Saccharomyces cerevisiae S288C: one gene and its partners. The protein of the gene in region 1 interacts with the protein of each later gene in a biochemical or structural test. Each region holds a gene or a part of one and is shown in the gene's direction. Other genes may lie near its edges.

Region 1 (5,656 bases):
ATTACTTATGCTGTGGAGGTTTCTGTCATTGGCCAAGTTATTGAATACTGGACAGATAAAGTTCCATTAGCGGCCTGGATTGCGATATTCTGGGTAATTATTACTTTGATGAATTTTTTCCCTGTCAAAGTTTATGGTGAATTTGAGTTCTGGGTGGCCTCTGTTAAAGTTTTAGCCATTATGGGTTACTTGATATATGCTTTGATTATTGTCTGCGGTGGATCCCACCAGGGCCCTATCGGTTTCAGGTACTGGAGAAATCCAGGAGCCTGGGGGCCAGGCATCATCTCCAGTGATAAAAGTGAAGGCCGTTTTCTCGGATGGGTCTCCTCCTTGATTAATGCTGCATTTACGTACCAAGGTACTGAACTGGTTGGGATCACCGCTGGTGAAGCGGCTAACCCAAGAAAGACCGTTCCAAGAGCTATCAATAAAGTCGTCTTTAGAATCGTACTATTCTATATTATGTCTTTGTTCTTTATTGGTCTACTGGTTCCATACAACGATTCCCGTTTATCTGCTAGTTCTGCTGTTATTGCATCATCACCCTTCGTTATTTCCATTCAAAACGCTGGTACTTATGCTCTTCCAGATATTTTCAACGCCGTGGTGTTGATTACTGTTGTATCTGCCGCTAATTCGAATGTTTACGTTGGTTCCCGTGTTCTTTACTCTTTAGCTAGGACTGGTAACGCACCAAAGCAATTTGGATACGTCACCAGACAGGGTGTTCCATATCTCGGTGTTGTTTGCACTGCTGCATTGGGTCTTTTGGCATTCCTGGTTGTCAATAACAATGCAAACACTGCATTTAACTGGTTGATCAACATTTCCACTTTGGCTGGGTTATGCGCCTGGTTATTCATCTCTTTGGCACATATTAGGTTCATGCAAGCTTTAAAGCACCGTGGTATTTCTCGTGATGATCTGCCCTTCAAGGCCAAATTGATGCCTTATGGTGCCTACTACGCAGCCTTTTTTGTCACCGTCATCATATTCATCCAAGGGTTCCAAGCGTTCTGTCCGTTCAAAGTTTCTGAGTTTTTCACATCTTACATCTCCTTGATTCTTTTAGCCGTTGTGTTCATTGGTTGCCAGATATACTACAAATGCAGATTTATTTGGAAGCTAGAAGATATTGACATCGATTCCGACAGAAGAGAAATCGAAGCAATTATTTGGGAAGACGACGAGCCTAAGAATTTATGGGAGAAATTCTGGGCTGCTGTTGCATAGTCACAGAACCTCTTGCATGCCTTCAAAATAGAAAAAAATAAAAAAATAGACGTTTCATTAATCAAAATAGCCTGTAGAGATTTTGAGGGATTGCCCCAAACTTTATGTATAATATCACCACTTATTATTCACTATTCATAGTATGTTACATCATAAGGCCATTGTCACCTTCGGCCAGCGATAGTACTCAAATCTATAATAAATTTTCCATATTATCCTTTACGTACTTGATAGCGTGTATAACAGGGTCATTATTCACGATATGTTCAACTGTTGTCATTTTCGTGTTATTGCACTGAAACAAAAGAACCCTACCAAAAAATTCGTTAGAGAAAAACTAAAAGTACAAGATCTTATACTGAAGACCCTTCATTTTTTAGGCCCAACTTCTATATTAAGAAGATCCCTGGACCCTGCTAGAAATTTTCAATTAGCTTATCATTTTTCTTCATTGCGAGCGTTCGTTTTCATTAAGCATTCGTTCTCTTCACTATGCATAAAGCATCCAGTTCAAAGAAAAGCTTTGATGATACTATTGAACTAAAAAAAAATGAACAATTACTGAAACTGATCAACTCTAGTGAATTCACCCTTCACAATTGTGTGGAGTTACTGTGCAAACACTCCGAAAATATTGGTATACATTACTATTTATGTCAGAAATTGGCCACATTTCCTCACAGCGAACTACAGTTCTATATTCCCCAACTAGTACAGGTCCTCGTCACCATGGAGACAGAATCAATGGCTTTAGAAGATTTACTATTAAGGTTGAGGGCGGAAAACCCTCATTTTGCACTACTGACGTTTTGGCAGTTACAAGCGTTACTAACGGATTTATCTACTGACCCCGCTTCTTATGGCTTCCAAGTGGCTAGAAGAGTCTTAAACAACTTACAAACCAATCTCTTTAACACAAGTTCAGGTAGCGATAAAAATGTTAAAATACATGAAAACGTTGCACCGGCCTTAGTTCTTTCCTCTATGATAATGTCGGCTATAGCATTCCCCCAATTAAGCGAAGTGACCAAACCATTAGTGGAATCTCAAGGTAGAAGACAAAAAGCTTTCGTTTTTAAGTTGGCTAGAAGTGCAATGAAAGATTTTACCAAGAACATGACCTTGAAAAATACCCTACTAAACAAGAAAACTTCCAGATCCAAAAGAGTTAGCTCAAATCGCAGTTCAACTCCGACTTCTCCAATAGATTTAATAGATCCAATAAAAACTAAAGAAGATGCATCCTTCAGGAAATCCAGACATAGTGAGGTAAAATTGGATTTCGACATTGTGGATGATATAGGTAACCAGGTCTTTGAAGAAAGAATCTCATCTTCAATCAAACTCCCAAAACGTAAACCTAAGTATTTGGATAATTCATACGTTCATAGGACATATGATGGCAAAAATATAAACAGGGACGGAAGCATTTCAAATACCGCAAAGGCTCTCGATGGAAATAAAGGTGATTATATTTCTCCAAAGGGACGTAATGATGAAAATAATGAGATTGGTAACAATGAAGATGAAACTGGTGGTGAAACGGAGGAGGACGCGGACGCTTTAAACTCTGATCACTTCACCAGTTCTATGCCAGATCTGCATAATATTCAACCAAGGACTTCTTCTGCTTCATCTGCTTCTTTAGAAGGGACACCTAAGTTAAACAGGACCAATTCCCAACCCCTTTCGCGCCAGGCATTCAAAAACAGTAAAAAAGCGAATTCTTCTTTGAGTCAAGAAATTGACTTGTCGCAATTATCGACCACTTCAAAAATAAAAATGTTAAAAGCAAATTATTTTCGTTGCGAGACACAATTTGCCATTGCGCTAGAAACAATATCTCAAAGGCTAGCTCGAGTACCGACAGAAGCTAGATTGAGTGCCTTACGAGCCGAGTTGTTTCTATTAAACAGGGACCTACCAGCGGAAGTAGATATCCCCACTTTATTGCCTCCAAATAAAAAAGGAAAGTTACATAAATTAGTGACCATTACTGCTAATGAGGCACAAGTTTTGAACTCTGCAGAAAAAGTTCCATATTTACTCCTGATAGAATACTTGAGAGACGAATTTGATTTTGACCCAACAAGTGAAACCAATGAAAGATTATTAAAGAAGATCAGTGGTAATCAGGGAGGCTTGATATTTGATTTAAATTACATGAATAGAAAAGAAAACAACGAAAATAGAAATGAAAGTACTCTTACTAGCAACAACACTCGATCTTCGGTATATGATAGTAACTCGTTCAACAACGGGGCCTCCCGCAATGAAGGTCTATCCAGTACCTCAAGAAGTGATTCAGCGTCCACAGCTCATGTTAGGACTGAAGTCAATAAAGAGGAAGATTTAGGTGATATGTCAATGGTAAAAGTCAGGAACAGAACGGATGACGAAGCGTATAGAAATGCTTTAGTAATACAGAGTGCCGCAAATGTTCCAATTTTACCTGATGATAGTCAAGACAGAAGCCCAGAGTTGAACTTTGGCTCAAACTTGGACGAAGTACTCATCGAGAATGGAATTAATAGCAAAAATATACATAGCCAAACTGACGCTTTAGCAGACCAGATGAGAGTTTCAGCTGTTATGTTAGCACAATTGGATAAGTCGCCACAACAGTTATCAGAAAGTACCAAACAAATCCGCGCTCAAATTATTTCATCAATGAAGGAGGTGCAGGATAAATTTGGTTACCATGATTTGGAAGCCCTTCATGGAATGGCAGGTGAGAGAAAATTGGAAAACGATTTAATGACGGGTGGTATTGACACTTCATATCTAGGTGAAGATTGGGCTACCAAGAAAGAGAGGATACGTAAAACTTCGGAATATGGCCATTTCGAAAACTGGGATTTATGTTCTGTAATCGCCAAGACGGGTGATGATTTGAGACAGGAGGCGTTTGCATACCAGATGATTCAAGCGATGGCCAATATTTGGGTTAAAGAAAAAGTTGACGTTTGGGTTAAAAGAATGAAAATTTTAATTACTAGTGCGAATACGGGACTTGTGGAGACCATCACAAATGCTATGTCTGTGCATAGTATTAAAAAGGCTTTAACCAAAAAAATGATTGAAGATGCAGAACTAGATGACAAGGGTGGTATTGCCTCTTTGAATGATCACTTCCTTAGAGCTTTTGGTAATCCTAATGGATTTAAGTATAGAAGAGCACAAGACAACTTTGCTTCTTCGTTAGCCGCATATTCTGTCATTTGCTATCTCTTGCAGGTTAAAGATAGACACAACGGTAACATTATGATCGATAACGAAGGCCATGTAAGTCACATCGATTTTGGATTTATGCTATCAAATTCACCCGGCTCAGTGGGCTTTGAGGCCGCACCATTCAAATTAACTTACGAATATATTGAACTGCTAGGCGGAGTAGAGGGAGAAGCGTTTAAAAAGTTTGTTGAACTAACTAAAAGTTCGTTCAAGGCTCTGAGAAAGTATGCTGATCAAATCGTATCAATGTGTGAGATTATGCAAAAGGACAATATGCAGCCTTGTTTCGATGCTGGCGAACAAACAAGTGTACAACTACGACAAAGGTTCCAATTGGACTTATCAGAAAAAGAAGTTGATGACTTCGTAGAAAATTTCTTGATAGGTAAATCTTTGGGTAGTATTTACACCAGAATATACGACCAATTTCAACTTATTACACAGGGTATATATAGCTGAGAAGGAAAATAGCTGTGACAGAACTGGAAAAACAATTTGCAAATGTCCGGAGAACAAAAAAATTGGAATTTTAGTAAAAGGAATATACATATATTTATTTATTGCCGAGAATAATAGAGCAGCTGACTCAGAAAAAGCAAGGTAAAAGAATGAGAGTAAAATAAATATGTGGTTAATTAACCATACATATAAATTATTATCTTATTTTCTGCGTAAAGCGTCAAACCGTTTCTTCAACTCATCTAGTTCATCATTTTCTTGCTCCTTCTTAGTCTTTCTTTTTGTAGTTTTCTTTTCTGATTGTTTCTTTTCGATCACTTCCTTTTTGATATCTTTCGGAATCTTGAGCTCGTTCTTGATATTTTCACTATTCTGCCTAGGCTTTTTAACAGTGATAGGGTGTTTAGCATCTGCATTGTCATTATCGTCATTATCTAAGGCTAAAATAGGCTTTTCTTCGTCATTATCCTCGATATCTCCCGAGGGGTCACTAAAGTCTGAAGAAATGTTAGAAGACGACGAAGATAAGGAATTCTCCAGCTTACTATATGGCACATCGTATGTTTTCGCGATTTCCTTCAAATAAAGATCAACTAGTTCTTCTTTTGGAACTGAGGGAGAGCATTTTTTTATAATCTTTTCAGGGACATCGATATGATCTGCTATTACTCCATTAACAAACTCAACGTTTATTTTCCAGGCCATCAAATCTTTCAATTGGCTAAGT
Region 2 (8,202 bases), on another chromosome or scaffold:
TCATATGTATATATCGATGACGTGCGTAGCGTAAAAATTTGTATTCGCCAGATAGACCTCTCATAATGAATTGGCATGCTACCTTGTTATTGATAGGAATGCCATTGTTTTTTAGTCTGTCAAGAATGTTTGTGACTTCTGCTTCAAATGCATCTGCAGGTGTACTTCCATTATAATGCAAATTTGCTAGGGTCGTAATGTCATTTACCTCTTGAGTATCAGACTGCATTTTGTTAATGCTTTTGGAAAGAATTTTCATGATATCTGTATAATCAACAGATAAGATGTCTTTAACCCAGGTGGGTAAGAATTGAGATAGAGCAAATAGTTGAAAGGTGTGACATAAGAAGGTGAGTTCGTCATCAGTCATCTGACGTACGGCTTTTCTTGTTGCTGTCGGAATAATATCACCGAGATTCGAATTTTGTAAAAATTTGATGTATATTTTAACCCAATTTAGAAAGTCATTAGGTGAGGTTAAGATTGGCGGTGGTCTGACATGTTGATTAGTGGATGTCATATTAGACTTTGCTGAGGATGAATCAGGAAATGAATTACCTGACTCAGGTGACGGGGTGTTCAAATGTGTTCCAACATATTGTGGATATTGTGTAAACTGTGATTGTGCTCCAGGTGGAGCGTACATAGGTGACATTTGATAAGGTGGATACGGCATCAAAGATGGGTGCCCGTATACTGGCCAACCAGAAATATTGGCTTGTTGGGGAGTCATCATTCGCTGCTGTGGGTACGGCCCATTTTGTGGCAATGGTACTTGAGCAGCTTGAGGAGAGGCATGATGATGGTTCTCTGGAACAGCAGCTGAGGGAGGTGTTGTTGGCTGTTGAGAATTAGCCTGAGTGAAAACCTTCTCACATTCTTCTGTTTTGGAAGCTGAAATGTCTAACGGATCTTGAGTTGTTTGGACTTCTTTAGAAGTAACCGAAGCACAGGCGCTACCATGAGAAATGGGTGAATGTTGAGATAATTGTTGGGATTCCATTGTTGATAAAGGCTATAATATTAGGTATACAGAATATACTAGAAGTTCTCCTCGAGGGTCAGGAATCCCCATAATGGAATCTATATTTCTATATACCAATATTACGATTATTCCTCATTCTGTTTTATATGTTTCATTATCCTATTACATTATCAATCCTTGCACTTCAGCTTCCTCTAACTTCGATGACAGCTTCTCATAACTTATGTCATCATCTTAACACCGTATATGATAATATATTGATAATATAACTATTAGTTGATAGACGATAGTGGATTTTTATTCCAACACTATGTGTGTATTGTGTGTGCGTGTAATATAATCATTTCTAGTCATCTCTAGTCAAAGTAACTTATAAAAGCCTAAAAAAGGAGGATTTAACATGAATTGTCGGTCCTATAGTGTAGTGGTTATCACTTTCGGTTTTGATCCGGACAACCCCGGTTCGAATCCGGGTAGGACCTCTTTTTATTTTTACTCTAACAAATCAACATTGATATTTTTTGTTGATGTGTTAGAGTGGAGCCAACGATGCTCTTAAGATATACACTTTAGTACTTTTGAAGCTCTTACAGTTTTTTGATGTCGGAGAAGGCTTATACATATTGTTATTTTCCCTCTACAGGAAAGAAGGTGAACGTTTAGTTTTTATCAAGGCGCCGAGTAAATTTTATAATATCGAGGCGAGGGAAAAACAAAGCAACGAGAAAGGAAGCTCAAAGTTGGGATTTACATCATTTCTTTAAAAAGCATCATTGGCTTCTCTCCAATTGTTCAATAAACGCAGACTAATAGAAATTGAAGTCATTTTCCGGAGAAATATAAAATATTTTCTGCAACTAAGCTATACTCGATTTCTTTTAAGTTTCTCCAGAACCAATAAAAAGTAATATCTTAAACTGTTTCTTTCTCATTTTTTCCCCGAATTCCATTAAAGAAGATAAGAAACAAGTCTAAGTGCTACTATATCTGATGTCTGAACAGAATTCAGTAGTAAATGCTGAAAAAGGGGATGGCGAAATATCTTCAAATGTAGAGACTGCTTCTTCAGTCAATCCGTCTGTGAAACCACAGAATGCTATTAAAGAAGAAGCTAAAGAGACAAATGGTGAAGATCAAAAATGCAAAGGGCCAGAAAACGCTGGCAGTACGGCAGAAACAAAAGAAACAAGTAACGACGCTACCAACGGAATGAAAACGCCCGAAGAAACGGAAGATACAAATGACAAACGCCATGACGATGAAGGTGAAGATGGAGATGAAGATGAAGATGAAGATGAAGATGAAGATGAAGACAATGGGGACGAGGATGATGAGGACGTGGATAGCAGTAGTTCCGAAACCAGTTCCGAAGACGGGGAAGATTCTGAATCAGTCTCAGGGGAAAGTACTGAGAGTAGCTCTGGAGAAGATGAAGAATCTGATGAAAGCGATGGAAATACATCAAACAGCTCCTCTGGTGATGAAAGCGGGTCAGAAGAAGAAGAAGAAGAAGAAGAAGAAGAAGAAGAAGAGGAAAATGCTGGCGAACCAGCTATCGCTCATCAAGATAGTGTTCCCACCAACGATTCTACTGCCCCAAGGTCTACCCATACGAGGAACATATCACTATCTTCAAATGGTTCGAACACAAACTCAACCATAATTTTAGTGAAAACTACGTTGGAGACAATTTTAAATGATAAGGACATTAAAAAGAATTCGAATGCTCAGAAGGCTATCGAAAGGACATTACAAAAATTTAAGGAATTTGATCCGCAAACCACGAATAACCCACATTACGTGGATTCAATACTAGTATTCGAAGCACTAAGGGCAAGCTGTCGTACCAAATCCTCCAAAGTTCAAAGTTTGGCTTTAGATTGCCTGTCAAAATTGTTTTCTTTTAGATCGCTAGACGAGACCCTGTTAGTGAATCCACCCGATTCTTTAGCCTCTAATGATCAACGACAAGATGCTGCCGATGGAATAACGCCGCCTCCAAAACAAAAAATTATAGACGCTGCAATTGATACTATTTCAGACTGTTTTCAAGGTGAAGGCACTGATGACCGTGTGGAACTACAAATCGTTAGAGCTTTATCTAGTTGCATTTTAGAAGAGGATTCAAGTTCTTTATGCCACGGTGCTTCCTTGCTAAAGGCTATCAGAACAATCTACAACGTTTTCGTCTTTTCGTTGAACCCATCCAATCAAGGTATTGCACAGGCGACCTTGACACAAATTATTAGTTCGGTGTATGATAAAATCGATCTCAAACAAAGTACCTCTTCAGCAGTATCCTTATCGACAAAAAATCATCAACAACAATCCGCCATAGAACTTTCCGAGGCTTCTGAAAATGCAGAAACGCCGGCTCCTTTAACTCTGGAAAATATGGATAAGTTGAATGACGATGAGGAAAGACTAATGGACGCTCAACAGCCTGATTCTATCGCCATAACTAACCAAGATCTAGCTGTTAAAGATGCGTTCTTAGTGTTTAGAGTCATGGCGAAAATATGTGCTAAACCTTTGGAAACAGAACTCGACATGAGGTCACATGCCGTCAGGTCAAAGCTTTTATCTCTTCACATCATTTACTCTATTATCAAAGATCATATTGACGTATTCCTTTCCCACAACATTTTTCTACCAGGAAAGGAGCGTGTGTGCTTTATCGATTCAATTAGACAATATTTACGTCTTGTTTTATCAAGGAATGCTGCCTCGCCTCTAGCTCCAGTTTTCGAGGTTACTTTAGAAATTATGTGGCTATTGATTGCTAATTTGAGAGCAGATTTCGTGAAGGAAATTCCAGTTTTTTTAACAGAAATCTACTTCCCCATTTCAGAATTAACCACTTCCACCTCCCAACAAAAGAGATATTTTTTAAGTGTTATTCAACGAATTTGTAACGACCCAAGAACTTTAGTTGAATTTTACTTGAATTATGATTGTAACCCTGGAATGCCAAATGTAATGGAAATAACTGTTGATTATTTGACAAGATTGGCTTTAACTAGGGTGGAAATTACTCAGACTCAAAGATCATACTACGATGAACAAATATCAAAATCCCTGTCCACCTACAATTTCTCACAATTGCCCCTTTTGACTTCTTCCAACTTGTCTTCTAGTCCTGATGTTGGTCAAGTCAATTTACTTTTTCCACTTGATTTTGCTCTCAAAATGGTGTCACTAAATTGCATTGTGTCAGTTTTGCGTTCCTTAAGCTCATGGGCTCACAAAGCTTTAAATCCAAACACACACACTGCTAATAAGGTATTACTAAACACAACATCTTCAGCTCGTCAAGAATCTAGATCATCTTTGAGTAACGACGTAAGGTCTTCTATTATGACAAGTAATGATGACTTCAAACCAACATATGAAGACGAAGAAAGCAGATCATTGAGCAGTCAAAACATTGACGCAGACGACCCCACACAATTTGAAAATTTGAAACTAAGGAAAACTGCTTTATCGGAATGTATTGCTATTTTCAACAATAAACCCAAGAAAGCTATTCCAGTACTTATTAAAAAAGGATTTTTGAAAGATGATTCTCCAATTTCCATTGCCAAGTGGTTATTAGAAACAGAAGGCCTCGACATGGCCGCTGTTGGGGATTATCTAGGCGAAGGAGACGACAAGAACATCGCTATAATGCACGCATTTGTTGATGAGTTTGACTTCACTGGTATGTCCATTGTTGACGCATTAAGGTCATTTTTACAAAGTTTCAGATTGCCTGGAGAAGGTCAAAAAATTGACAGATTCATGCTGAAATTTGCGGAAAGATTTGTGGACCAAAACCCCGGAGTCTTTTCAAAGGCGGATACTGCATATGTGCTTTCGTATTCTTTGATCATGTTGAATACTGATTTACATTCGTCACAAATCAAAAATAAAATGTCTTTACAAGAGTTTTTAGAAAACAACGAAGGTATTGACAACGGAAGAGATTTACCAAGAGACTTCTTGGAAGGTTTGTTCAACGAAATTGCTAACAATGAAATCAAGTTAATTTCTGAACAGCATCAGGCAATGCTTTCAGGTGATACCAATCTTGTCCAACAACAGCAATCTGCTTTCAACTTCTTTAATTCTCGTGATTTGACAAGAGAGGCATATAATCAAGTCTCAAAAGAAATTTCATCTAAAACGGAATTAGTCTTTAAGAATTTAAACAAAAATAAAGGAGGCCCAGACGTCTATTATGCTGCTTCCCACGTTGAGCATGTTAAATCAATTTTCGAGACACTATGGATGTCCTTTTTAGCAGCTCTAACCCCCCCATTTAAGGATTATGATGACATTGACACAACCAATAAGTGTTTAGAAGGCTTGAAAATATCAATTAAAATTGCTTCTACTTTTAGAATCAATGATGCTAGAACCTCCTTTGTAGGTGCGTTAGTCCAATTTTGTAACCTTCAAAACCTTGAAGAAATCAAAGTTAAAAATGTCAATGCAATGGTAATTCTTCTTGAAGTCGCGTTATCAGAAGGAAATTACTTGGAGGGATCGTGGAAGGACATTTTGCTGGTCGTGTCTCAAATGGAAAGACTACAATTGATATCCAAAGGTATCGACAGAGATACGGTTCCAGATGTTGCACAAGCTCGTGTTGCAAACCCTAGAGTTTCTTACGAATCATCAAGATCCAATAATACATCTTTCTTTGATGTTTGGGGCAAGAAGGCAACTCCCACAGAATTGGCTCAAGAAAAACACCATAATCAAACCTTATCACCCGAAATCTCTAAATTCATTTCCTCCAGTGAATTAGTCGTTTTGATGGACAATATATTTACCAAAAGTTCCGAGTTATCAGGTAATGCTATCGTTGATTTTATCAAAGCTTTAACCGCTGTATCTTTAGAAGAAATTGAATCATCTGAAAATGCTTCCACACCAAGAATGTTTTCCTTGCAAAAAATGGTCGATGTATGTTACTACAATATGGATCGTATCAAACTAGAATGGACGCCGCTTTGGGCTGTTATGGGAAAAGCTTTCAACAAGATTGCTACAAACTCTAACTTAGCAGTAGTATTTTTCGCTATCGATTCCCTGCGTCAATTGTCTATGAGATTTTTAGATATTGAGGAATTATCAGGTTTTGAATTTCAACATGATTTTTTAAAACCTTTTGAATACACGGTTCAAAATAGTGGCAACACTGAAGTTCAAGAAATGATTATTGAGTGTTTTAGGAACTTCATATTGACAAAATCGGAAAGTATCAAATCTGGCTGGAAGCCTATTCTTGAATCCTTACAATATACGGCTCGCTCAAGCACTGAATCCATTGTATTAAAGACGCAATTGCTGGTTAGCAATGATATTGTGACAAATCACTTCGAAAACGTATTCTCTCAAGAAGATGCCTTTTCTGAGTTAGTTGGTGTCTTCAGAGAAATCACCAAAAATAAGAGATTCCAAAAGCTATCTCTACATGCTTTGGAGTCTCTAAGAAAGATGACTCAGAACGTCGCAGACATCTGTTTTTACAATGAAAATAAGACTGAAGAAGAAAGAAAACATAACGATGCTTTACTTCGTGGGAAAGACATATTCCAGGATGTGTGGTTCCCTATGTTATTCTGCTTCAATGATACGATCATGACAGCTGAAGACTTAGAAGTTAGATCACGTGCATTAAACTATATGTTCGATGCCCTAGTGGCATATGGTGGTAAATTCAATGATGATTTCTGGGAAAAGATTTGTAAGAAGTTACTATTTCCTATTTTCGGTGTATTATCCAAACATTGGGAAGTCAACCAATTCAATAGTCATGATGATTTAAGTGTTTGGCTTTCGACCACGTTAATTCAAGCCTTAAGGAACTTGATTGCCCTTTTTACGCATTACTTTGAATCGTTGAACAGAATGCTCGATGGATTTTTGGGTCTGCTGGTATCCTGTATTTGTCAAGAAAATGACACTATTGCTAGAATTGGGAGATCCTGCCTGCAACAATTGATATTGCAAAACGTATCTAAATTCAATGAGTACCATTGGAATCAAATAGGTGACGTATTCGATAAATTGTTTGATTTAACCACTGCTAATGAATTGTTCGATTATGATCCGTTACAGCAAGGAAGAAAATCATCTGTATCTCATCACCAAACAACTAATGATACCAGCCAACACTCAGATGATGATAGCAACGACAGAAGGGAGAACGATTCTAATATCAGTGAGACGGTCGAAAGAGCGCATCAAGAAGAATCCAGCGAAGACGTTGGTGGTGACATGGTTGAAACACTCAATGGGCAAACTAAGCTTAATAATGGCAATTCCGTTCCGACGGTAAAGGACGAATTGAATCCAAAGCCCGCTAGTCTAAGTATCCCCAAGAAAACTAAGCACATGAAACGAAACGAAAGTAACGAAGATATACGTAGGAGAATAAACATCAAGAATTCTATTGTTGTCAAATGTGTTTTACAGCTTTTGATGATAGAGCTGCTCAACGAATTATTCGAGAACGAAGATTTTGCCCACTGTATCCCTTACAAGGAAGCCATTAGAATTACAAGATTGTTGGAGAAATCGTACGAATTTTCTCGTGACTTTAATGAAGATTATGGGTTAAGAACAAGACTAGTAGAGGCTCGTGTAGTTGATAAAATACCAAACCTGTTGAAACAAGAAACGAGTGCTGCTGCAGTTCTCCTTGACATTATGTTTCAGTTGTATCTGAACGATGATGAGAAGAAGGCTGATTTAATAACTCGTCTGATCACCATTTGCATCCAGGTCGTAGAGGGTTATGTTTCTTTGGATGATAGAACCATGGAACGTAGTATCAATGCCTGGCGTTCAGTGATAGTTGAAATATTACAAGGTTACTACGAATTTGATGATGAAGACTTTAGACTATACTGTCCTGCTATGTATGCTCTGGTGATTCAAATATTAGATAAGAGCGTTCCAACGGAGTTGAGACATGCTATAAAACAATTTCTAAGCAGAGTTGGTGAATTATACCTTTCTACTGATTAAGGCTTTGTTGAATGGTCCAGCAGATTAAAATATGCTTAGTTGTAGAACACAGAAAAAATGAGAAGGTTGATATACTTTTACTCATATTAATCCTGATTTAGTGGCGGTGATCCTTTTTAGATTCGTTTAATTCATAAACAAGGTACATCATATAGCAATAACAAATATGTAAACTATGTAGAAAGACTTATCAAGTT
Region 3 (3,214 bases), on another chromosome or scaffold:
ATATAGCAATAATATAAAATAGTACTCTATAGGTTATAGGAGTCTTAATACAATGAGCGCGCCATTATCGTTCTGTAAAGTAAATAGTCATTCACATAACGAGCTAATAAAAATCTCCAGATGGCACACATAGTGTATGGCAACATCAATGAGAAGAATAAGGTCTTCGAGGAATAAATTGTTCTAATCATGACAAAAACTACATAACAGAAGACTGAAAGACTGCATTAAAAAAATATTATTAGCATGAACACTAGTCAAAAAATGACACTAAGATTTCATTCCAACACTACATTTTTTCGGAAAACGTTTTATTGAAGTACTGCTTTATGGTCAGCACGTATCGCTTCATATATGATAACCTTACACAGTATCTTTCCGAAAAATCATGAAACGAAGTAACACAGCATCAATTTCTGTGAGAAATAGACAAAGATGTTTCAAAAGTTCCAACATATAGTGAGCATCGTTCATATACCTCGTACAAATCAAATTTGTCTCTTGGAATACCGAAAATTAGCCGCTCAAACACTCTCCGTTGTTAATGACAATTACACCATAGCCGCTGCCGTAGAAAATGCACGGTCTTCCGTGACGAGAAGATTCGGGGGCGAATCGCATAGATCGCTCTTTCTCCTCTTTCTCAATTCTGTCTTATCTGTATTTATAACATGAGCTCATAAACAAAGTCCCTGTTTATATATATTGATGACTTATATATCTTTCGCTTCAGCTTCTTCCCTCATTTCTACTTAATATTATCTTTTGAAATTAGCGCGATCAATTGCATTCTTTTCCACACCACCTTCAAATTTAAGAATTCATATTTGAATCGAACCGTATGTTTTACCTCTCAATAACTTGTTTCATTAATAGCTCCTTCCACAACCACCTTCATCTTCTCTGATTTGAATTATTACCGACATGAATGTTACTCTCCTGAAAATGTTAATTATATCAACTTAACAGGCCTTGAAAGTGAAGTGTTATAGTTTCTCTTCCTTTGTTTTTCCCACTTTCTTTTTTTTATATATATCTTATATTGGTTTAAGCACAGCGGATTGCTTTCTTCTAATACAAGAACTAGAACATAGGTCCACCCGTGTGATGTTGCATTCTGAAATGTTTAGTTATCTCTGTCAGAACAGCGAGGTAACACTTATTTTTGTTACGACCAATCCGTAATTCAAGCGTGGGTATTCATATGACCAGAGATAATAATACAGCGAATACTATTGAAATCGTCCCTTTTTTGTTTAGGAAGAACGGACAAATCGGTCGTCTGCTCGAAATGATTAGTAGTGTGTCACCCGGATCAGCAAAATGACACACACGAAATACGAGGAAAAAGTCGGTCGAAAGGGGCAAATGTTATTATAAGTCCCTCCAGTAGTCTTTTTTTTTTCAAATATTCATCATCAAAGGTTACGAAATCTTTTGAGCTATCTTAAACATTCGTTCTTTTTATCAAATTTCAATTACTAACTTATTTTTTCAAAAAAAATTGCCTCTCCCGGTTTTTAATCATTATTTTTTTCGATTGATTAAGGGGGAAAAGCAAAGAACGAGAAAACTTGGACAGAAGGTTAATACTCTGACAATTTCAAAACGAAGTAAAAAGAAAAATTATCAAATCAACAAAAAGTACCCGTTACAACAAAAAAAATGTCCCAAACTCGTGAAGATTCTGTTTACCTAGCTAAATTAGCTGAACAAGCCGAACGTTATGAAGAAATGGTCGAAAACATGAAGGCCGTTGCTTCATCAGGTCAAGAGTTATCTGTCGAAGAACGGAATCTATTGTCGGTTGCTTACAAGAACGTCATCGGTGCTCGCCGTGCTTCATGGAGAATAGTTTCTTCGATCGAACAAAAAGAAGAATCAAAGGAGAAATCTGAACATCAAGTTGAATTAATCCGTTCTTACCGTTCTAAAATTGAAACTGAATTGACCAAAATCTCTGACGACATTTTATCTGTGTTAGATTCTCATTTAATCCCTTCTGCTACTACTGGTGAGTCTAAAGTATTTTACTATAAGATGAAGGGTGACTACCACCGTTATTTAGCTGAATTTTCCAGCGGAGATGCAAGAGAAAAGGCAACCAACTCCTCTTTGGAGGCTTATAAAACCGCTTCCGAAATCGCCACAACTGAATTGCCTCCAACTCACCCAATTCGTTTAGGTCTAGCTTTGAATTTCTCCGTCTTCTATTACGAAATTCAAAACTCTCCTGATAAGGCTTGCCACTTGGCCAAACAAGCCTTTGATGATGCTATTGCTGAGTTAGATACTTTATCTGAAGAATCATACAAGGATAGCACTTTGATCATGCAATTATTAAGGGACAACTTGACCTTATGGACCTCTGATATTTCTGAATCTGGTCAAGAAGATCAACAACAACAACAACAACAGCAACAGCAACAGCAACAACAGCAACAACAAGCTCCAGCTGAACAAACTCAAGGTGAACCAACCAAATAAGAGCGCTGAGAAATACAAGGGGAAATGAAGATTTACCACTCCAGTTTTCTTGCTAACGAAAATGAATGCAATTCGATTTTGATACTTTTTTTAGGGGAAGAGATAATATCTTCGTCTAATACAAATTCACAAAATTTTCAATTTTACCAACTACAAAATATACAAACCTCTAAAAAAATAGTTTCTTAATATATAACATAAAATAGTTTTTCTGTTACTATTACTTCTATCACTGTTTTCTTCGTGTATTCTTATATTTTGGCTATCGTTCAGAGTTGAGACAATTTGCGAGAGTAATTGAGTAGTAATTTTCGTATGTTTTAAAATAAGTTCCTTCCATTGTATACGCACCTCTTTCTTCTGTTTTCCTTTGAATCTTGATCTACCTTACCTATTGAAGGTGAAGGCATCTTTTCTCATTTGATGAAACAGCGCTCCCTGGGTGTAGGGGGGCGGGGGTATAGTAGCGTAAATCCGCAACGGAAAAATACTTCGAGTGGAAAACTATGACCATTAATATGTATGTCTTACAAGAGAGGACAATAAACAAAGTCAAATAACCACAAGGGATCACAAACGAAAGGATGTCAGTTATTCCTCCAAAATTCTTCAAGATTGCAAATATATCAATTGGCTGCATAGACATTATTGCTGCCCTTTCACAATTGACGTATATTTTCACCAATTTAAACGTCTTCCTCTTGGCAGTTTACGGACTGGCACTCTC

Evidence for each region. The genes of interacting proteins can lie anywhere in the genome.
Region 2: the proteins of PIK1 (region 1) and SEC7 form a complex in vitro, tested with the Saccharomyces cerevisiae proteins (one study listed by BioGRID).
Region 3: the proteins of PIK1 (region 1) and BMH2 form a complex in vitro, tested with the Saccharomyces cerevisiae proteins (one study listed by BioGRID).

What each region holds. Positions count from the first base shown.
Region 1 is NC_001146.8:139,150-144,805, forward strand, and holds PIK1 (1-phosphatidylinositol 4-kinase), read left to right. Parts: upstream 1-1,728; coding exon 1,729-4,929; downstream 4,930-5,656. Other genes in the region: LYP1 (lysine permease), read left to right, coding at 1-1,236; IST1 (Ist1p), read right to left, coding at 5,131-5,656. UniProt on the Saccharomyces cerevisiae protein: Acts on phosphatidylinositol (PI) in the first committed step in the production of the second messenger inositol 1,4,5,-trisphosphate. PIK1 is part of a nuclear phosphoinositide cycle and could control cytokinesis through the actin cytoskeleton.
Region 2 is NC_001136.10:795,996-804,197, reverse strand, and holds SEC7 (Arf family guanine nucleotide exchange factor SEC7), read left to right. Parts: upstream 1-1,975; coding exon 1,976-8,005; downstream 8,006-8,202. Other genes in the region: YDR170W-A (gag protein), read right to left, coding at 1-1,003. UniProt on the Saccharomyces cerevisiae protein: Guanine exchange factor that acts as an activator of ARF1 at the trans-Golgi network and is thus involved in vesicular budding and traffic between compartments of the Golgi apparatus.
Region 3 is NC_001136.10:651,942-655,155, forward strand, and holds BMH2 (14-3-3 family protein BMH2), read left to right. Parts: upstream 1-1,665; coding exon 1,666-2,487; downstream 2,488-3,214. Other genes in the region: TVP15 (Tvp15p), read left to right, coding at 3,072-3,214.